Linked DNA regions of Arabidopsis thaliana. The protein of the gene in region 3 interacts with the protein of the main gene of each other region in a pairwise test. Each region holds a gene or a part of one and is shown on either strand. Other genes may lie near its edges. The genes, in order: FAO3, AT3G03330 and AT1G15610.

Region 1 (8,675 bases), on a different chromosome or scaffold from region 3:
TTTGGAGTAGTTAAGGGAGAAAAGGAGTATCTGATGGATGGTGGAGGAGAACGGTGGTCGGAAAGAAGAGCTGGTGGTGAAGGTAGTAGTGACGAGAAAGTAGAAGAAGTCGCCATTGTTGAGAAGGAAAAAAAAACGAAGAGAGTGAGATAATTTGTAGAGAAGAAGAAGAAGAAGAAGACTTTAATTATTATGTGATTTGAGAAGCACCACGGGTTATTAGCGCGTATACGTGTGTGCGTAAACGAAATTGCATATTACTTTCTGAGTAAAATGATGTCGTTTTGTGCCACAAAATTTTAATTTGCTTTGGTTGTATTATTATGGACCATATGCAGTACTTTGATTTTAATCTATGTAGATAATACTAGATTAAGACCCACATATATAAAATTAAATATTGATTTTATTGATGTAAAACATATAAATTTCGACCATAGACATTGCCCAATTTTTTTTCTCCTTTTTCCATTTAAGTATGGCCCAATAAAGACCCACATCGTATGTTTTGTCACTCGGAGGCAGCATGATCCAATACTTATATACAGGTGTGTTTTTCTCTTTTAGTCATATGACATTCATGCCTTCCATTTATTTGGATATCATTTTAGAACAAATTTTTAGGCTTTTAGTAGTATATAAAGTTTGAAAATAATGTAACTTCATATCCAATATATATTTGTCTTTTGAATTTCTTTTGCTTAGTTGGTATCCATTCTAGTTGTCTATATTGAGTTAAGTTTTTTTGTTTTTTTCTGAAAGAAAAAATTAAACATTCATCTTGGAGATTACGTGAACATTTGCCGTGTTCTCTTTATTTGGGGAAATCTCCCAGTTTTATGGAGACATTTCATATTTAATCAATAAGGTTTGGTTGCTATGTTCTTCTTGTCTTAAGAAATCGTCCAAATTTTGTGGCATTTAATGGTTGGAACTGCAAAATTGTGTGGCTAGAACTGCAATTTATGATAAGCTTTTAGCAGTTTGGTTCGAAATATATGTTTGGTGAACAAAAGATATTTACAGTATGAGAATAGTAGCTGATATTAAAGTTAAGAAGAGAACTTGGTACTGGAGCTATAATGGTCAAGCTAAGACGATGTAGATATAATTACAATTTGGAAGAAGAACAAGTTGAAATATAAGAATATAGAATTGCGAATTGCGAATAATGAAAAGATAACTACTGCAAGAGATTAAGAACAGATTATGGATAACCACTTGTGTTTATATTAGGCTTGCATTAAAAGCTTTGATATGCTTAGTTGACGTTTTTGTGCTTAGTTCTGCCGTTTTCTGTTTGTGTCCATGAATCCACGTGTTAAACCATCTGCTGTACAAGGTTTTTTAGTCTTTCAATTTCCCAATTTGTGTTATTTGCAACATGTAAATGCTAATGACAAGCTACATGTTAATGCTGGAAAAGAAAAGTAGACGTTAGTTCGAATGGATCTAGATGATTCTATACGTACTATTCGATATTCGATCTTCTATTTTTTTCACTATACTCGAAGACATTGGTGCAAATTAAATATTCTAACTAGATGTTGGTTGTTAATTTTTCTAATTATTTAGTATTTGTTGCAGTGTCCCACGATTACATGAAGTTATATAGTAATTTAATAATAAATATGATAATAAAGATATTGAAAACCCCTAGTTTATCACTTTATTGGTTAACCAAAAATTCATTAATGATTATACATAAAGAGGTCTTTGGTTCGAGTCTCAGATACTACAATTTATTATCAGATTTGCAGATTTATGGAGACAAGTGTATAAGAAATCTTCAACGATATATAATTATAGCCATCATTGAAATTCTCCATCAAAAGCATAAAAAAAACGAAAGAAATGCCGTCTCTCGTGAATCTAATAAAGGCGAAATGAACTTTTTGTAGCAAAATTGTTTATATAACAAAAACATGATAATAAAGATAACTTACGCATAAAATATCGGTAGTTTTTAGTATCCGCGTATAGTTTACTTAACTAAAGGAAATATGGTATTATGACTTTTTAACACAAGATTTTAACTGGGCAGAAAGTAACATGAACGGAAAAGGTCTACAAAGTGGGGTTATCTTGAAAATGCCGTATATAACCTGTTATCGCTATTTTACTTTACATTATCGCTTAATTAATTAATGACAACTTGTGACATCTTTAATTGCGTCCAACAACATTTTTTTTGACTTTTAAACAATAAGCTATAATGACATTTTATTTTTAGAAGCTATACTTACACAGTGACACATAATAATTCAACTAAACAACCCACTGTACCCGATTGAATATTTTACAAGCCATGAAGGTTTTAAGAAGATTTTGTTGCTGATGCCTCGGCTAGCTTGAAAATGTTTTATGGATTTTACGCAAACACGTCATTTTGACAGTGTTTTAGAGATTTGTTTTTGTCTACAACTAATATATAATTAAGCTTTGGAGCCATTGAAAATATTTGGTCGATAAATAATAATCACAAAGTGTACCTCAATCATAGAAATGGAATGCTATGGTCCATATAACTTGAAATATTGTAGTCATAAAATTACGATATCACCTAACGGAAAATAGTCTTAACATTTGAACATAACATGTGTTCAGAGAAGTTATAAATAAGTGTTCAGAGAAGTGATTTTTTATTTCTAAGTTATAAATAAGTGTGAAAAAGTAACTTATGACTAAAAAATATTTTGTGAACTTTTTAATATTATTATTTTTGCAAAACAACGCACTATATATGTACCTCGTACACTCTAATTAGCTCATCCACCACGGTAAAATTTATTTATTATTTTGCATTTTTTATTTGGTTAAGCTGAAACATATCATTATCACCAAGCAATTATATATGTACCGATAACCCATGCTGAGGAAATTTTCTAACCAAACCTTTGGGATCAGAATATATATTAGTAAATAATCATACTTTAACTTAGATTACACTAAAAACTAGTTATCGTTTTAGAGTTTTTTTTGTCTGACGAGATCTCGGATGCTTCGATTACACCTGACTTGTTAGATGGGATGCATGACCACATTTTGGCTAACATGGCGTGCAAACGATGACGTGGAGGCAACTGATTGGCTCCACTGATTCCCACAAATTTGTTGCAAAATCAAAAGTAGGGCCAGACTAATTATATTATTTTTTTGTGGATGTCTATAATATGAAATTTGAATCAATACGTAATTTATCGATTCTTTGTCTAATCGATGTCAACTAAATTTAACAAATTATCTGGAAGTCACTCAACATTTTCCTTGATAATGCTAGTTTCTTCGAATCTTAAATGAGGCAACGCATTGTCCATTGAAATTTTAAGCATATAGTGTATATATGTATTTATTTTTCTAGCAAATTCAAAACGGCCTGGGATCGTTTGGTTTGTAATCAATATATGGGTTTTTTTTGGTCAACAATCAATAATTAGTATTTTTGAGAATTCATGAAATACTGGATGAGTAAATGAGATAATTTTTATGGATGATCACTAGCACATGGTTGCTAACCAGTGAAGCACCTAAAAAATCACTGCAAAAAAGTTTGTAATCAATTTCGTTGCAGCTAAGCAACATTTATGACTAATTTGAGTAAATATTAATTGACGATCCCATGAATTTCACCTAATTGACGAGTCCCTAGATTTGTTTTAGAGTAAATTTTACAACTTCATATACTTTACATTATAATTAACAAACTAAAAAACTCGTAAACCAAATAAGACTTTGTCTAATGGTCCAAGCATGACCTCTCCAAAGATATAATATGTTTTGATATATACGTGATAACCGATCAGATGTTGTATATACATATTAATGTGTATTAATTTCTTCATATAATATTTACAAATTTTTGTGAGAAGATATCAAGTACACGTATATCGAATAAGAAAAGCTAGATTGTGTAAAACGTTACGGGGCTTGTGCATTAACTCACAAGTTGGCTATCACAAGTTTCAAATTGTGGTGTTTAGAGCATCGCAGTTGTCAAACAAAAAAAAAAAAAAAAAAAGAAAGAGTATCACACGTGATTGTTTTCCATAACTATGAGAACTTTTCTGACTATTTTCTTCTTTTGTGCCTTTGTTATGTTTCTTCAATCATTACTTAATTATTAATTACTAATCGATTTTCGTTGCCTGTAGTTTTCACATGTTGTAATCTAGAAAACTGAAAAAGACTTTCCCCATAATAGTCTCTGCTAACTACATACTAGTCCCTATATTTTGCAATTTTAAGTGTTTTTAACCACTATCTTAGAGACTCTAAACATGAGGACCCTAAAAAATAACCATCATCTTAAATTGTACGTAAGAAATATATTCAATCTACATCAGATGATACCAATAAAATTCGGCATATAAGTAGAATTTGAAAGAAACAACAACGTGGGTAGATATGCACCATTTACAACAACAAAAAAGAAAAATCAATTTTGGTCCAACTTTTTCATATACATTTAAATTGTCAATTATCATCATAATTAGTAATACGACAAACTGTCGTATAAACTAGAAAAATACATACATCTACTATCTAAAACGACAGATAAAAATACGTAATCATCAAAAAGAGTTAAAAACAAGTTTTGGGGTTCTCTTAGCAATTTTGTTTTATATGTCTATTTTTATGTAACGCGACAGCTGTAACGTTGTGTCTATATATATACTAACAGAGTTTGTGCTTCGAAATCTTAAGAACTTTCCCAGTTTTGTTTTTTAATCATATCAAAGCAAACTGTGTGATGGATAAGTACAAAGTCGCCGGAAAATTTGGTCTCCCGGACATCACGGTGGCAGAGATGGAATCTTTAGCTAGCTTTTGTGAAGCTGTCTTGCCTTCAGTGCAGCCACCGCCGGAAGAGCTTTCCGGTGAAGGTGATAACCATCGGAACAAAGAGGCTCTCCGGTCATTTTACTCAACTTCTGGGTCTAAAACTCCTGTCCTTCGCCAGGTTCACACACTTTTTCTTTATATTCATCAAATGATCTGTTTTTTTAACAAAATGCTAAAGTTTTGACACTTTCAAACAAAAAAACACAAATCAAGAACGTGTGATATTTGAAGATTTGTTTTGATTTGTTCGATTAGTTAAAAGGATTCGTATTGATCGAGTTCCAATAAAATCCTTGTGGTTCTCTTTTGACTTCTATAGACCTTTTAAATGACAAAAATATCTAGCTCTTTTTGTTTTTTTAACGTGAATATTATTAGTCTAGGTTTCGGTCTAAAATTAATTGCGGTTATTAAAAAGACCTTAAGGTTTTGAGTAAAAAGTGAAAGATTTGTTAATGGATGCAGAGCATTGAGCTGGTCACGAAACGAGGGACAATAGAAGCTTATATTGCTACTAGGCTTATATTGTTCTTGCTTGCTACTCGGCTTGGGACGCTTCTCATTTGTGGAACCGAGTGTTTGGTCTCAAGATGGCCTTTTGTCGAGAAATTTAGTGAGCTCTCGTTGGAGAAGAGAGAAAGAGTACTTCAGAAACAATTCAAGAATTGGATTCTGACTCCAATTAGAGCTGCTTTTGTCTACATCAAAGTTGCATTCCTCTTCTGTTTCTTCTCCCGGGTATGTCTCAAATTCTCTCTGTTTTCTCCAAACCTTATCTCAACCACATAGATTATGTTGTTCTGTCCGGATAAAACAGTCTAGTACAAATCCAAATAATCGAAAACAGAATCGCATGGTTTAAATTCATTTACTTTCTATATAATCCAAAAATTGATTACAAATAGAGCCAAAAAAAACTAGAAAACGTATCAGTTTTATTGTTTTCTAAATTAATGATGATCTCTAAGGAAAAAATCATCCAAATTCATATATACTAAAATTAGAAAATCTTAAACCTGAAACCGTACGTAACGTATTCATATGAGATTTGTTTATAACTAAAATTTACTATTTTACTATACATAAACAATTTGATCCCATTATTAAAAACTTTGATCTTAAATGAGTACCAAGCGATTTAACTAGATCATTTTCTGATTTGGTTACAATAAACCGATCCAAAATTTTGAGAATCGTGAACTAAACCAAAATCCGGATTCAGAGCCTATATTATATATGTTAACTCTGTCGTAAAAACAGAGCTACTTATAGAAAATGTTCAAGAATTTATGGATATGTCGTTTCTTTTGTGTAGGTGAATCCAAATGGCGAAAACCCGGCATGGGAAGCCATAGGGTATCGTGTTAACCCCGATGAGAACAAACCTTCTGAAACTCATAACGAAAGACCACTTGAGAAAGGGATAGTGGAGACGATGGAAGAAACAGAGCAGACTCTTCTTGAATCACTTGCTCATAAAGGCCTAGAAGCGGTTCTTGACACGGAGCATGATGCGATCAGAATAAAATGTGATGTTGTGGTCGTCGGGTCTGGTTCAGGAGGAGGCGTAGCAGCTTCTGTTCTAGCGAAATCTGGTTTAAAAGTGGTTGTTCTTGAAAAAGGAAGCTACTTTACGCCTTCTGAACATCGTCCTTTCGAAGGTCCTGGCTTGGATAAACTCTACGAGAATGGAGGGATTCTCCCGAGTGTTGATGGGAGTTTTATGGTGTTGGCTGGAGCAACTGTAGGTGGTGGATCTGCTGTGAACTGGTCTGCGTGTATCAAAACCCCGAAGTCGGTTCTTCAAGAATGGTCAGAGGATCAAAATATACCTCTTTTCGGTACTAAAGAATATCTAACGGCTATGGAAGTTGTGTGGAAGAGGATGGGTGTCACGGAGAAATGTGAACTGGAGAGTTTTCAGAATCAGATTCTGAGAAAAGGTTGCGAAAATCTCGGGTTCAATGTTGAAAACGTGCCAAGAAACTCCTCGGAGAGTCATTACTGTGGATCTTGCGGGTATGGATGTAGACAAGGAGACAAGAAAGGAAGTGACCGGACTTGGCTTGTCGATGCGGTGGGGCACGGTGCCGTGATTCTTACTGGATGTAAAGCGGAGAGATTCATACTCGAAAAGAACGGTAGTAACAAAGGAGGCAAGCAAATGAAATGTTTGGGAGTGATGGCTAAATCTTTAAACGGAAACATAGCAAAGATGTTAAAGATTGAAGCTAAAGTAACGGTTTCAGCAGGGGGTGCTCTTTTAACACCTCCGTTGATGATATCTAGCGGGTTGAGAAACCGAAACATCGGTAAAAACCTTCACTTACACCCTGTTTTAATGGCGTGGGGTTACTTCCCGGACAAGGAATCTTCTAACATCAGTTTCAAGGGAAATTCATATGAAGGCGGGATCATAACATCAGTGAGCAAAGTGTTATCAGAAGATTCTGAAGTCAGAGCAATCATAGAGACACCGCAACTAGGACCAGGTTCGTTCTCCGTTTTAACTCCTTGGACCTCTGGGCTTGACATGAAGAAAAGAATGGCTAGATACTCAAGAACCGCGAGTCTCATAACCATAGTTAGAGACCGCGGGTCAGGAGAAGTTAAAACCGAAGGCAGAATAAACTACACCGTGGACAAAACCGACAGAGATAATCTCAAAGCTGGGCTTAGAGAGTCGCTAAGGATACTAATAGCAGCTGGAGCAGAGGAAGTGGGAACTCACAGAAGCGACGGGCAGAGACTAATATGCAAAGGTGTCAATGAGAATTCGATCCAAGAGTTTTTAGACTCGGTGAGTACAGAGGAAGGAGCAAAGGGAATGACTGAGAAATGGAACGTTTATAGCTCAGCTCATCAGATGGGAAGCTGTAGAATTGGAGAAAATGAAAAAGAAGGTGCAATAGATTTGAATGGAGAGAGTTGGGAAGCAGAGAAGTTGTTTGTGTGCGATGCAAGTGCGTTGCCTAGTGCTGTTGGTGTTAACCCTATGATCACAGTCATGTCTACGGCTTATTGTATCTCCACAAGAATCGCTAAGTCCATGACCACTGGTTTATCTCATTGAACTAAAATAACGTATACTTTCTATTCATCCTAATCAAATTTATGTGTAACCAACATGATAATTCATAGTTAAAGACTCTTCTATTGATCATGTCTACTAATAAAATCCATGTTTTGGAAACGTTATATTTATTCATCTAATTAGAGTGTTATAAAATATTGGACTAATCAAGTTGCAGTGAACTTGGAACATAAGAGCACACAAGTGGTCGGAGATTTTGGTTTGGAGATTCTCCAAGATCCACTTCTTCAAGGATCCATCCTCTCCAACGATGTAAGCTGCATTGCACATCAACTACTTCTTTTTGCCTTTATCAAAAACCACTGCAACTTTCTTCTCCTCATCAATGAAGAAACTTGCATCACTAAACGAAAACATAGAGTAACGGCCGGTGAGTTCTCTCATATCCACTGATAAGAAGAACTTGCTGCTCCATGACACCGTGTTGGGCTCAATCTTAGTTGTAACCCAGATCTCCATCTGTAATGTATCCATACGCTGAAATAACACCGCAAGCTGCTCATCTCTAACATTAGATAATAACAGAGAACTCTTGAAGATACCACTCAAAGGGCGGCGAAGGCAAACCGCGGCCCAAATGTCTCCCTTGTGAAATCAAAACAGAGTAAGAAACTATGGTCTCCTTGTCTTGGGATTTCTGAATATGCCTCTTCAGCAAGCCAATATGTATTTCCTTTGAGAGAGGCACCAGACACAAAACGGTTATAGTAACCTATGTTCCAGTCTCGAGATTGACCCT
Region 2 (8,172 bases), on a different chromosome or scaffold from region 3:
GGACCGTGAGCGTGACCTACGTCTGCTTCTTGAGTGTGACCGATCATAGTCTCTGTCTTGTTCACGATCACGGTCATGGTGCCTATCTCGATCTCTACTCCTGCGATCATAATCTCTTCGATGTTCACGACTAGTTTCTTGTTCTTTCTCTCGGTCTTTACTTGATTCTCTCTCCTTACTGTTCCGTTCCTTTGATCTAAGTATGGTTTTAAGTATTCACTATGAAGTCAATTTCAAATCAACACCGTAATAAAACAATGAAACAAGAAGCTAGAACTAAAACCTAACCTTTCCTTGCGTATATTGGCCTTCTCATCCTGAAGTAAACGAAGAGAAATATAAGAAGGCAGTTTCATCCATCATCAGATAAAGTAGATTGTGTTATTAGTTTACCAGAAGCTCTGTTAATTTGTCCCGGACTAGCATGTATCCTAGATGAAGCTTCCCCCCAAAATGATCAGCTAAACGGCGATCACTGTAGCATCACAAAAGTTCCAATTAGCATAGCCAAATGCTAAACATTTGACGATAGCATATTAAAACAGTATAACGTTAAAAACTCCATTAGTTAATCTCTACTAGTAAGATCCTTCAAGCACAATAAAATCAAGAAAAGAACGCACATTTATTATAGCTGCAAAAGTAATCCTGCCCAAAAAGCCTGCTGGTGAAAGGAGGAGGTACAATAGCCGGAGTCAAAAGACTATTTCTACCTTTTTTCTCTTTCAATCCAAAAGGGAAACAATAATGCAGAAAGTTTGAGCAAGGAACTTAACCTGTCATAGACGCTCAAGAATGCTCCACATATGTCACATAGACGCAACTTTTGGTCTGTCTGAGAAGATATAGGAACAATAAGTGAGGTTAGAAGATGAAACCAATGTGTAGATACATTAAACAGGGGATGCGAAGATGTTATACTTTTGGTCCAAATAGTAACTTTTATGAAAGCAATCAAACGGGTTTACTCAAATAAACTATTACTCTTTACCTAAACGTTAATATATGACTGTTGTCATTCCTATATTCAACGGTACTTTCCAAAACAAACTGATAAATATAGAAGGAATGTGAATCTTTAAGGCATCATTGGGAGGAGTGATGGTAACTTACGATGCGCACATCAACAGCGGTGTACTTCGTTGAATCTGCTGGAGGTTCTCGTCTAACTGTAAGCTGAAACAAATTTAGGCCCAACAATTATTAGTGACTAATAAAAGTAGGGGGAAAAGAAAAAGAAATAAGAAAGAGAACACACCTTCTTAAGAGCTTCAGCCTCTTCCAGGGCTTTCTGGGCTTCATCAACCATTCCTTGTTCACCTAAAATATCAAATAACCATACAATCTATATAAAACTTCGTGAAGTCCAGTGTTTCCTTAACATAGATATAGTAACATACAACGGGAAGAAATTTCCTTATCTTAGGTATATACAGTTTAAGCAATTTATAGGTTAGGAAATCTTAGATTAGCCAGTAGAAATTCCCAGCCGGCAGGGAATACTAGACCGTGGATATTTAAGCAGTTTCAACTTTCCACTACAATGAGCTCTAAATTAAGATGACCATAGACAAATAACCAAACACAAATTAGGGTTATTTCCCTTACCAAGATCTTCTGCCTTCTTCAGTTTCTCATTTATCATTTCTTGAGTGCGAGGATCCGGTGGAGGTAATTCGGAAGATGGTGGTTGAGCTGGAACGGGCTGTGGCAAGGATGCTCTATCTTTGTTGAAGGCTTCCAACAGCAACACCGCCTACATGAAAAAACAAGACAAAGGACTTTCTAGTTGACATAGGTAAAGTAAAAAAGCAAAAATGCTCATTAAGCCAATAGCGAAAGCAAATTCACCTGTTGGTCAGCTCTCTTGGTCCTCATCTCTTCGACTAACTCAAGAGCTCTAATCTTAAGATCCATTTTGCCTTCAAGATCTGCAAAGTGACATCAGAACTTTGAAAGACTACCAATAACCAGTCAAGAATTATTTGCAAAAACAAAGCCGAAACAGCAAAGTAATATTTGCTGGGCAATATTCTTTTAATTTTTACCGTGGATATCTGCTTCCTTCATCTTCTCTTTGATTTTCTCCGATAACTCGAGAATTTCAGGCGACTGCAGTTAAACAATGTAATGATGATAAACAAACCTGAGTGTTGCAAACTTAGAAGACACATAAACCAAATTTCAAAATCAAATAATCACCTGAGTGACTTCAGAGACAGAAATGGCAATGGCAGCTTTGGCGTCCTCTTCTTGAAGACGCTTAAGGGCCCTACCAATCTTCCTATCACACTCAACGATAAGCCTGTCTATGGCATCTTCCAATTCCCTGTCGTAGTTATCAACACCTTTTGCCCTTGCTTCTCGGTATCTAAGGGCGAGTTAAAGCAACACAGGAGTGGAAAGAGAACAACATGCCACTGTAGAATCAAACTAAACATAACAATGACACCAACTTTTTTTTGTAACTAATCTGCATAGGCTAGTCTTATATGCACTATCCATTCATTTAACGTATTATCTCAAGCAAAAACCAGGAAGAAGAGCAAAAACATGAGCAAAAAACAGATATCAACCCAATTAGTAAGTATGTTCAAATGTCAAATTCAATTGAAAGAGGCCATGGAAGTAGGCGGCCTTCATGGTAACCGTATAAGGTAAATACTAAACTTACTGTAAACAAAGGATACTCTTTCCGAAGCTGCAAAGAGTGCACCTTTGGGCATGGTCCCATATCCATTTTCTGATAACAACAGAAATGTAAAAGGAGCATCAGTTATTAGGCAAACCAAAGTAGCCATGCACTAAATTACTAGACAGATACTCATAGAAAACAGTGAAGCGATACAAGTTTCAGAATTCAGATATACTCTATAAGATACAAAACTGCACACTGTATCAAGTAACCAAATACCAGTTATCAATTCGAGCTAAAGCAGAAACACAAAAGATTAGCTCAAAAGTGAAATTAGGGTTTTTTTATTCAAAGAGACAACTAAGTAATAAACTGAAAAAATATAAAGGTAAGCACCGTCAATTGGAAGAGATCGTGAGGGCAGAGACCAGACAAGTAAAGACGACACACATCACGGTCGTAGTATTTGCGATTCACCTCCTGAACGTCGCCGTTTCGGTTAGCTCCCATGAGCACATCAAGCTGCTTCCTTATAGCGTCCATAGTCGTTCTCTCTCTCTCTCTCTCTCTCTCTCTCTCTCTCTCTCTCTCTCTCTCTCTCTCTTTCCTCGTCCTCTCTGCAAACAGAGATTTGGGGTTTTTTGATCGAAAGACAACACAATGATAGGAACAATGGCATTCGGATGTAATAAGATTTTGGTATATAAGATTAATTGCATACAGGTCCCTATATATTAATAATTTATGTTCTACTCCTACATTTATTTCTGTCAACATATTTTGCCCACGGGTAAGAAGACTTGGTCTCTCGCTGGTTGCTTCAATCCGAGAAAATGCTGACTCTACTCTTCTTCTCTCTCGGAGCGCTTCTTCTTATCGTTCTGCTCTTCAAATTTGCATTCGCCGATGGTAATAACTCTGACGATTTCTAATGCAATGTTTAACTTCTTTTATGTATAAAAGGATTGATCTTTGCTTTGTGTAGGAGATTTTACCTTGATTTCGAAGAAGCATGTGAAGCGTGAGGCCATACAAGGCAAGGTACTGGATTGATAGAGGAAAAAATGGAATTTAGTGGGATTGATTTGAGTTTTCGATTATTTCAATCTCTGAGCATTAATTCAGATTTCTTGGTTTTGCTCAGGTCGTCTGGATCACAGGGGCTAGCCGTGGAATTGGTAACGAATGTTTTCTTAGGATTATATATCTGTGAAGAGATAACTTTTATTGTGGCTGCTTACTCTTCATGTTTATGATTGGATTCAGGTGAAATTCTTGCTAAACAGTTTGCAAGTTTAGATGCCAAGCTTATTCTCTCTGCTAGGAATAAAGCTGAACTGGATCGGGTTAAGAGTGAGCTTAAAGGTACTTTCTTACACAATGAATCAAAGAAAGCTCTCCAGTTTACAATTGTGAGCTTTTTGTTGACACGTGATGTAACTGACTCTGTATTCTTCTTCTAGGTAAATTTGCACCAGAAGATGTCAAGGTTTTGCCTTTAGATTTAGCTAGCGGCGAAGAGTCACTCAAACATGTTGTAGAGCAAGCAGTGTCGCTTTTCCCTGGAGCTGGTGTTGATTATTTGGTTCACAATGCTGCCTTTGAGCGTCCGGTAAGTAATTTCCTTGCTAAAGTTTTGTATCTACTCAATAGAGAGTCTTAGGCTTTAGATATGTTTACTCAAGCGGGTGTCATCATCATACTCTTTTCCTTGCAGAAATCCAAGGCATCGGATGCAAGTGAGGAAACTCTCAAGGTACTAAAATTAATTGCGTAAAATTCGTAGGCAAGATTATTAATTCTTGAGGAAACTCTCAAGGTATTTTTTGTTTCTATTGCCATAGTTAGCCTGTAACAATTAGGACATGGGTGATTTTGATATTTCTTTCTGACATATGGTTAATCTATGATTTTGTGTGCAGACTACATTCGATGTTAATGTCTTTGGGACGATATCTCTGACAAAGTTGGTAGCTCCTCATATGCTAAAACAAGGAGGGGGTCATTTTGTTGTGGTACGTGGAGACTACTGGGGGATAGTTTTTGTTAATTTTGTGGAATTATATTTAAGGATTGAGCTTCATATCATAGTTTATATATGTGGATAACATTGCGTTTTATATGTTAGTTAATTGTTGTAATCACAGTATTGAATCTTGACTATATATGTTAAATCTGAGGATACTAGGGTATATAGACAATTTAAGGTTTCGTTCAGGTTAGTATTTACCATAGCTTGAATGTTATGGAACTCAGGCTATGATCATGCACTAATTGTCCATTTTATTGGGTTAAATGTCATGAGTAATAATTCACGTCAATTATGCTCAGATAAGCAGTGCTGCAGGAAAGGTACCATCACCTGGACAGGCTATATATTCTGCTTCAAAACATGCTCTTCATGGCTACTTCCACAGCTTGCGTTCTGAGGTATGTTAGAAGTAAAGAAACTGTTGTGCTTGCTAATTAGTTGGCAGAAATTGACTTATTGAAATCACAAGTGAAAATTTACAGCTACTCCTGAGTTTTAATAAGCTTCATATGTTGATTCGCTATGTTTTTTCATTTACATTTTATTGTTGAAAATAGCACAATCAATTACAAAAACTAACAGTTAGTTTACAATCATCTGTGCATGGTTTCAGTTCTGTCAGAAGGGAATCAAGGTTACCGTCGTTTGTCCTGGTCCAATAGAAACCTGGAATGGTACAGGAACATCAACTTCGGAAGACAGCAAGTCTCCTGAGGTTGGTACTTATTATGATTGTGATTATTTGATTAAGTTGTGAGCAGCAAGTACTTCTCCCATTGCTTGATTCATTATTTCCTTGTAGATACACGTAGAATCATATTCTTTGTCAACATTTGGAGATTCTAACTTCAGCTCCTTGCTCAACTTGATTTCTCTCAAGCATCTATTCTCTTTGCTACGCAGAAACGTGTGTCATCTGAACGATGTGCAGAGCTGACTATAATCGCTGCATCTCATAACTTGAAGGAAGCTTGGATTTCATATCAGGTACATCTTTATAAATATTGCATATGTGATACTCGGTTTAGATGTCTGATATATAAGTTTCTTTTTCACTGTTTTTCAGCCAGTACTACTCGTGATGTATCTAGTGCAGTACATGCCTTCCCTTGGCTTCTGGCTCATGGACAAGGTACTTTGCTCATCCATTAATTTTCTTCAAAAGTTACCGGTATGAGATGTCGTTTTGTTTCCATTATAATGTGACAAACACATCTGACAAAGAGAAAACAGGGGCAGTTATTACTCTGTTGAAAGCAGTCTTTTGATTAAAATGAACGGCTTGCAGGTTGGAGGAAAGCGTGTGGAGGTCGCGGAAAAGAAAGGCAACACATACTCGTGGGATTTACTGTTCGGGAAGAAGACTAAAACAAACTGAAGCTGATTCTCTAGAAGATACACATAGATGTGGTTGGTTGAGCCTTAGTCCGTAAATGTGGTTGGTGTTTGTTTGCTAGTTTGATTGTTAAATAACTACCAAAGCGTCGAAAAATGTTTTGTTGCCTTGTGAGGTGCTCAATAAGTAAGAAAAGATGTGATCTTCTGTGATTTAGCTACTCGTACACACAAACAAACACAAATTTAACATCATCCGAGTGTAGAGAAATCAAAACCCTTCAAATTGAGTAGTTTCTCTGCGCACAAAGGTTTTCAGATGCAGCTACGAGGTAACCCCAGCTGTGTATTCATCCAACAGGCTTTTGATCCCACTGGACTTCAGTTCCTACAAAAGAAGAACCGAAAAGAAAGCTATATGATGCATACATTGAAGACTAACGAAAGCTTCTGGAGTTTGACTTGCTGCCAGAAACTCACAGACAATACTCCTGCCAAAGCTGCAGAAGGCTGATTAGCTGGTTTTGCAACACGAATAGCTACAACACCGTTCATTCTTTCCTTCTCTTCAGAATAAAAGTTTCGGTAAACTTGAACACCTGCAGATAGAACATCATTTCAGGTTAGAACAAAGTCCACATAGCAAAAGAGACGCTTTCCAAACGTTCTATGTTATGGTAAAGATCTTCAAACCTTCTTCTATACTTTCAACTCCAGGAAGAACTTTGGCAAGACCCTCCACTTTCAGCATTTCTGAGAATGAAGTATAACGGTGAACGTCCTGCCCTCATCAAAATGGTTAGTAACAAGAGGTATAGTGTTTGCCTCACAAGGAAGAATTGACAGAGATACAAGATTGATGACTACCTGAACTTCAAGCAGCAAGCATTTATTGAACAAAAGAAAATCTCCTGAACTAATTCTGTGAGTAAACCAATTTTGAAGTCAATAAGACAATCTAAAGCTATTGGAATCAGCAAAACAGAAAACCCGGAAAAGCAAGCACAAGAGATGAATGTGAATTAACATTTGCACAAAGATAAAAACATCAGACCTCATGTAGTCTCCCACTGCGCATCTTCCTTCAACAGTTTTCAAACCATCTGACAAATTGAGAGGCACCCGGAAATAAAAGTGAGATTGAGCAAATATAATTGTAATACTACAATCAAGTAACCAGAAAATGTACCTTTCAATTGGGTGAAGTAAGGCTCTTGGACATGAAGCTCAAAGTTCACCTCCTTCAACATCTGAAACAAAGAACCTTTTCTGTGTAAAAATTCCAAAAACTAACTTTTCCCACTCTGTTTTGATGCAATAATAGTTGAGAACTAAAGTTTTCATATAGACTTACATTTATTAAGTCATATCCCAAGCCATGAATCAGTTTGCTGTATTTTTCCAAGTTAGAATTTTTATCACCCTCGGAAGCTAGACATTCAGACAAAGCCGTTGCTAGAAGCTTGTACACCGCAGATTTTTCTGTTAATTGAAACATTTATGAGAAAATTTCAGTTATTTCTCTCCAGCATTCAAGTTTCATAATTTGCTTCCTAATTAGCAAAACGTACCTGTTGAATCTGTAGCTTCCCCAAGGAGATGAAGACAAAAATCTCTGGTCAGGTCAAGATCGAAACTTGGAACAGATTCGTTTAAATGAGATCTCAGACTAAAACGGAGAAGTGATTCCATGCATTCTCGGAGATCCACCGACTTCGTTCCCGGCGACATTGGTTGCTCCATTTTCGTCAAAAACGCCAACGTTAAGCCTCTTAATTAAGAAATATTCGTGTAAAACACCCTCAAGTTTGTAGATATTACAAGATGTTCTAACCCAATCTGAAATTGGACAGTAACACCTTGATGTCGTTTTAAAACGGAAGATCAGAGATCAGACGTTGTCGTTTGAAGACGGAAGATCAGAGCGATAAGTCAGGTATCTAGAAGGTGACACGTGAGGAGCACGTGAAGCTTGCGTGTAGACAGTCACAGTCACAGATGGCATATTCTCAGAAATCCTCATTGTTGACTAATGTACCTCTGATAAGTCCCACTTACCATTTTCTCCTGAACTCTGTAGAAAGATCCGAATTGAATATTTCGGACCCGAAACCTGACCCGCTTTGATGGGCTGGATTCCGTGTCCGTGCTGGGGAACCAACGACGATGA
Region 3 (6,260 bases):
TCTTCTGATACTCCTAAGCTCTACAGGTTTGACTCACAATCATGTCACAGTAGAGATTTAGTTAAACCCTAACTAATCAGTACTAACTTTTGTCTTCTTGATTATGTTTTGGCAGGTTATGTGTAGTCTTCATTGCTTTCAGTTGCATTAGATTTGCATATGCATTACTATTATGCGCAGGTATTTTTTTCGCTTAATGTTCACTAGAGTTTGGAACATTTTTTTCTCATATCTATGATGTGGATAAGTTGAAATCAAATGATGTAGATTCTGTAAGGGAAGGTATAGGAGGTAGATTTGTTTTCAAGAAACCGAGCCATGATGATGTGAGTAATAATTTCATATCACATTAATTACTCTGTTTTAAATAGCATTTTTTTGTTGTTGTTGTTGTTTAATTTTCATGGTTTGATGGTGTGTGCAGAGTTGTTGCATATGCTTGGGGAAATATGGAGAGGAAAAAGGAGTAGGACTAAGGAAACTTGAATGCTCACACGTATTTCATTCGCAATGTATAGACAAATGGCTGAAAATCAAATCCACATGCCCTCTCTGTCAATCACAAGTTAGGTGGTGATGAGATGAGGTTGATTTTTTTTTTATTTTTTTTTCGCTCAAGAGTAATTGTACACATTCAATAAACAAAAGTGGTGGGAAACTGAAAGATACGATCCTGTCTTCTTGTGTTGTCTGTCTTAAAACAGAAAATAAATATCATACAGATCATTTGACCTATTAACAATTTAACTTGTCCAAAACATCTGCAATATATATAAACATTGAAATCTCAGCTTTGATCTTCATTTTTCAAAATAATGTTTTATTTGTAACACGACTAATACGTACTTAGTATTGATCTGGTCTAAAAAAATACTAATAATTTTATCAACAAAGAAGGAAAGGTATATGCTTTGTGCTCGTCAACGCAAATTTGAATGAACTTTTCATTTGATCGGCAAGAAATAGGAAAAACCAAAAGTGATCAATGGAGGGCCCTTTGTTGAGCGAGTGTGAACACATCATTGACATTACAAGCGATGGTAGTTCTTCATCAATTGATGGTCAGCAACCACACGAGGGTGTTGAATTGGGTGATCCATACACAAATGAAAGCATTTGTAATTCAATCGAGTTTGTTGTGACTTTGGTCTTGATTGCTGCGGTCATAATCGTTCTGATTGAGCCAAGAGATGAAGAACATCCACAAACAATGTTGTCTATATGGATCATCGGTTATACATGTGGCTGTATTGCCACTCTCCCTATCCTATGTTGGCGTTTTTGGCTTTATAACCGAAGCGTTGGCTCCGAATCTACAGATGAATACTTAAGAGAGACAAGGTATATATAAATTGTGTTTTCTTTTATCTTTTTATGCATTAGATTGAGATATAATGGTTTTATTGGTTTGCAGAATCAACAAGGATATGGACTTTTTTATGACGGGTTTCTTCGTGGGTTGGTATGTGGTGTTTTTATGGATTCTTTCTTCCAAAGCATTCGACTCATCAGCTCTAGATGATACTACAACTCAATACTTCTGGTGCGTATCAAACGAAATTTCCAATCATATGTATACCTTAAAACGTATATATTGACCTTTCTTATACTCATGCCTTTGGCCTTCTTCATTGTCTCTTTTGCAGGTTATGTTTGGCTCTCCTTACTTTCAGTTGCATTAGATATGTTCTTTTTAATCTAACATTGGCAATGGTCTGTTATACTACTCCTTTGCTTTTACTTACGCCTGTGGTCATATGTGTTCTCCTTGCTGTGGAAGTCTTAAAAGGCATTGTAGCATGCATTGTATCATGCATCTGCTGAAATCGAACTAATAAAAATATTTTGTTTGTAAGCCTAGGAGAATGGGCGTTTAAAATCAAAGTAAAGCAGAGTACCAGAATAAAAATGTTTTGTGTTCATGTTGATGATTTTAATCTTATTAAGGTAGAGAAAAACAGTAGCTAAGGTTTTTTGAAATGATCAAATATGATCATCTCGTCTTATTTCCTCTTTTTATTTTATTTTTCTCCCTCGTTAATATTATTCTCCATTAAATGACAGTTTTGACTGACCATTCTTATTCGTGCGTTTTCGCTATTCAGATATGTATTTTAAGGGCCCGTACTTTAATGGGCTTTTTAAAATCTGACTTATTTCGAGTCGAGTCCTACCTCATTGTGACATTTACCCAAATAATCACGTGTTTCAGAATAACCTTTTATAGGCCTTATTATTTTGACAGATTTGGGTAAATCGAAATGGATATATAGATAACTTTAACACCAAAGATAAGATAACTAAGAAAAATAATAAAATATTATAGTTTCCCAAATAATAAAATTTAACACCAAAGATTTCTCCTTTTACAAAAAAGACATATTACTTCTTCTAGCTTCCCAAATAATACATCAAGCACCAAAGAATTAGGAAGACTATAATTTAGAACCAAATATTTTGAAATTTTACTCTAACGGGCTACAATTGACTAATAATTGGTCTTGGTGTAGGTAAAACAAAAACACACAAAACAAATGTAGCTCCGAAAGTCTACTCATTGTAAAGGACTTTATGTGATTGACTTAGAATTGGTATTGGTGTCGATTAGGTCTTAAGATAATAATATAGCTGGAAATGTCTATTATTCGTATTTAGAGAAGAATGACTAACTTTTTTTTTGTTCGTTAGAAGTTTACAATTGACTTATAGAATAGATCTTGACGTAGATTGGGTCTTAGAATAATAATTTAGCACCAAAGAATCGGAGAGGGCTTTATGTAATTTGTATTTCAACGCTTGTTTAGATGAACTATTAATTCGATTGGACAAAATAGAAGAAAGCAAAAAAGTGATCAATGGAGGGCCCTTTGTTAACCAAGAGTGAGCACAACGTCGAAGACGTTACAATCCATGGCGATTCTTCCTCAAATGATGAGCACATCATCGACATTACAATCAATGGCGGTTCGTCATCAGCTGATCATGAGCAAACTCCACATGAGGCATTTCAATGGAGTTGTCCATTTACAAGTGGAAGTTTCTGGATTTTGGTCGAGTTAGCTGTGACTTTGGTCCAGATTGTTGCAGCCATATTTTTTCTGATTCTAACAAAAGATGAACGAGATCCAGAACTAGATGTAGCTTTGTTTACATGGATCATCTTTTATACTTGTGCCTCTATTGCCACTTTGCCTTTTGTATGTTGCCGTTTATGGCAGTATATCCAAAACGCTAGCTCAGAGACAAGGTATAAACTGTGTTTCTTTTTCTTTTTCAGGCATTAGAGACTGATATCCTCAACAATGGTTTTTATTGATTTGCAGCAACGAGGTGATGGAGTACCGTTTGGAAAATTTTCTTGAATCTTTCTTCGTGTCCTTGATTGTGGTGTCTTTATGGCATATTCTAACCGAGTCATCATCACGTCAAGATACTAGTCGACACTTCTGGTGCGCATCTAACTAAATTTACAATTATGGCTAAACAACATAATTTACCTCTCTAGAACTAACAAATGTCCTTTTCCAGGTTATGGCTGGGTCTACTTGCTTTCAGTTGCATTCGATATGTGCTTCCTAATTTCCAATTTACCGTACAGTTATTCATGTTGCCTGGGGTGTCCCTTGTTACTGCACTTGTGGCCGCCATAGTAACGATGATTAATTCGTTACTCTCACTCTTTTTGGTCATCATTGGACTCTTTGCGTTAACCTTTTCGTGGATCATTGGAATGTGCGGATAAAAATGATGGATCATGTTGTTTTCTTCAACAATTGTTGTAATACTCTCTTTCTATTTATTAAATAAAGCCAAGTGTCATTAGCATTACCGAATCCTCTATTCCTGAAATGGCCGGCAAAACTGAAACTAAAGGCTTCTCTGTACCAATATCTCTGCAGCAAGATAAACATTTCAGTATCTGCATTTCAACATGTACAACTGGTTTGTCTATTGTAAAAGGCCTCTTTGGCCATCTTGATGAAGCGCTTCATGTTGAGACAGCATGTGGCACGCCCGACAATTCTTTTTAAGAGTGCACCCATAACATATATGTTCTTATGCTATCAAACAACCCACAAGGAACCTGAAGATGATAACTACTTGATAGAGATGATATGACTTCAATCAATCTCGATCGGGTTCGGTTAAGGGCACTAATAGATAACCTGCTATATGGGAGTGTGAAGACCATTAATTGGTTTTTCACATATATATGACTGAAGAAATCAGCCGTAACCAAATATTAGTGTTTTTGCATCAGTTGGGGCCTTGGGGGTCAATTATGGAGTGGAATAATACATGAAAACTTGAATGGTCGCATGCAGAGCAGAGGTAGCCTTTAAATTAAAGCACACATCAAAATGTAGTGCAATGTTGCGAACTTTTATTCAACTAAACAATTTAACACTCGATCTTTGTGCGCCAATACCTCTGCACAACAAACAATTTAATCTCATCAATATGATCCGATTTTGAAGAACCACCTTCTTCTTCAGTGACTTCTCTGGCTACCTTCCATTAACTGTCGCTGTCATAACGACGTGGAAGTTAACTTAATTGACTTTTAAAAGATTAATGATGCTGTATATTGGTCTTAAAATGGCACAAAAGGTTCCGTCTAGGCTTTGTGTTTCACTTTAAGTCTATAACTTAAAAAAAAAAAACTACTAATTTAGCACCAAATAATATCATAACCATTTTATTATAAATGACTATAATTAACGTAGAATTGGAATTGGTCAGTTGGTCTCGAGATAATAATTTAGCTCCAACGAATCGGACATATCTATGCTTTTATGTTTTTTTTTGGGTATAAGAATTTGTTATTAATTCTTATACCAAAATTATAGATATGATATTGTTTTATTTTAAAACAAAATAAATAATATATATATGAATGGTTTGATCTGATATTGGTTACGGTTAGGATACAAATTTTAATCCTGATACCATAGAGGTTTTATTAGTTCAATTTTCTTTCCGTTTGTTTATGCTCAACTTCAGATTCGTTGTCTTGCAATATTAAGATATGGTTCAATTATTGAGATATCATTTCAGTTACGTTCGCATCCGATTTGTTTAAGGTAATTGTAATGTTTTAATGATCACTTTTATTTGAATTCTGAAAATTGAAGTTTTAAAGATATTTTTTAAATAATCGATTTCAACAAAATAGAAAGAATTGTAATACATATTTTTTTTATCATAATATGAATTTTATATTTAATAGAAAGTTTCGATTATGCATTTAATTTCATACAATTGACTTTTCGACTGTTCATTTTTTTTAATTTTATTTTACAACGACTTTTAGACACTTCTTAGCACGAAAGAACTAAACGCAACATGTGCTTTGTAATTAAACGTCGAATGAATATGAATTATATTTGACCTAGGATTACGAATGATGTCGATCTGGAGTAATAATTTAGAACCGAACGACGACTTCGAAATATTACAATTGACTTATAGAATAGATCTCGACGTAGATTGGTCTTAAAATAATAATTAAGCACCAAAGAACTGGAGATGGCTTTATGTGCTCTGTGTTTTAAAGCGGATTAATAAGGACTTTTAATTCGATTGGGGAAAATAGAAGAAAGCAGAAGTGATAAATGGAGGACCCTTTGTTGACTCAGAGTGAGCACATCGTCGATGACGTTACAATCCATGGCGATTCTTCTTCAAATGAAGAGCACATCGTCGACGTTACAACCAATGGCAATCCTTCATCAGCTGATGAGAAAAGACCGCATGAGGGTGTCCAATGGAGTGATATATTTACATTTACCACTGTTTGTATTTTGGTCGAGTTTGTTGTGGCTTTAGTCCAGATTGTTGCCGCCATTGTTGTTCTGACTCTGGCAAAAGATGAACAACCTCCACAAAAAATGTTTCCTACACTGATCCTCAGTTATACCGGTTGCTGTATTGCCACACTCCCTATTCTAGGTTTGCGTTTCTGGCATTCTTACCGAAGTGTTAGCACAGAGACAAGGTATAAACTATAATTTGTATGTTAATTATTTGTTTTAAAGGCATTAGAAACCGAAACCGATATAGTGGTTTTATTGATTTGCAGAATCTACGAGGTGGTGGACATTTTGAAAAAGATGCTTGAATATTTCTTCGTGGGTTGGGTTGTGGTGCTTTTATGGCATCTTATCAACAACTCATCATCTATAGATAATACTACGCAACAGTTCTGGTGCGCATCAGAAGAAAATTATAACTATATATTCGTGTCCCGAAAACAGACT

The links.
Region 1: the proteins of AT1G15610 (region 3) and FAO3 interact in a protein complementation assay, tested with the Arabidopsis thaliana proteins (one large-scale study listed by BioGRID).
Region 2: the proteins of AT1G15610 (region 3) and AT3G03330 interact in a protein complementation assay, tested with the Arabidopsis thaliana proteins (one large-scale study listed by BioGRID).

Annotation. Positions count from the first base shown.
Region 1 is NC_003074.8:8,378,110-8,386,784, forward strand, and holds FAO3 (fatty alcohol oxidase 3), read left to right. Parts: upstream 1-4,562; 5' UTR 4,563-4,750; coding exon 4,751-4,960; intron 4,961-5,221; exon of another isoform or gene 5,222-5,301; coding exon of another isoform or gene 5,302-5,307; coding exon 5,308-5,580; intron 5,581-6,157; coding exon 6,158-7,915; 3' UTR 7,916-8,072; downstream 8,073-8,675. Other genes in the region: FIB4 (Plastid-lipid associated protein PAP / fibrillin family protein), read right to left, coding at 1-116; AT3G23420 (F-box and associated interaction domains-containing protein), read right to left, coding at 8,164-8,193, 8,237-8,521, 8,673-8,675. UniProt on the Arabidopsis thaliana protein: Long-chain fatty alcohol oxidase involved in the omega-oxidation pathway of lipid degradation.
Region 2 is NC_003074.8:781,445-789,616, reverse strand, and holds AT3G03330 (NAD(P)-binding Rossmann-fold superfamily protein), read left to right. Parts: upstream 1-3,412; 5' UTR 3,413-3,468; coding exon 3,469-3,544; intron 3,545-3,620; coding exon 3,621-3,676; intron 3,677-3,779; coding exon 3,780-3,813; intron 3,814-3,901; coding exon 3,902-4,000; intron 4,001-4,098; coding exon 4,099-4,247; intron 4,248-4,352; coding exon 4,353-4,391; intron 4,392-4,557; coding exon 4,558-4,650; intron 4,651-4,966; coding exon 4,967-5,065; intron 5,066-5,280; coding exon 5,281-5,382; intron 5,383-5,570; coding exon 5,571-5,654; intron 5,655-5,733; coding exon 5,734-5,799; intron 5,800-5,955; coding exon 5,956-6,045; 3' UTR 6,046-6,285; downstream 6,286-8,172. Other genes in the region: UNE6 (LUC7 related protein), read right to left, coding at 1-196, 289-317, 394-475, 777-835, 1,114-1,176, 1,259-1,320, 1,609-1,756, 1,852-1,931 and 4 more; AT3G03320 (RNA-binding ASCH domain protein), read right to left, coding at 6,328-6,390, 6,483-6,601, 6,696-6,783, 6,870-6,924, 7,057-7,105, 7,192-7,252, 7,357-7,484, 7,574-7,745; LCAT3 (lecithin:cholesterol acyltransferase 3), read left to right, coding at 8,129-8,172.
Region 3 is NC_003070.9:5,367,938-5,374,197, forward strand, and holds AT1G15610 (uncharacterized protein), read left to right. Parts: upstream 1-2,819; 5' UTR 2,820-2,855; coding exon 2,856-3,247; intron 3,248-3,323; coding exon 3,324-3,449; intron 3,450-3,528; coding exon 3,529-3,742; downstream 3,743-6,260. Other genes in the region: AT1G15590 (E3 ubiquitin-protein ligase), read left to right, coding at 1-26, 268-295; AT1G15600 (uncharacterized protein), read left to right, coding at 986-1,341, 1,415-1,543, 1,647-1,824; AT1G15620 (uncharacterized protein), read left to right, coding at 5,616-5,998, 6,083-6,208.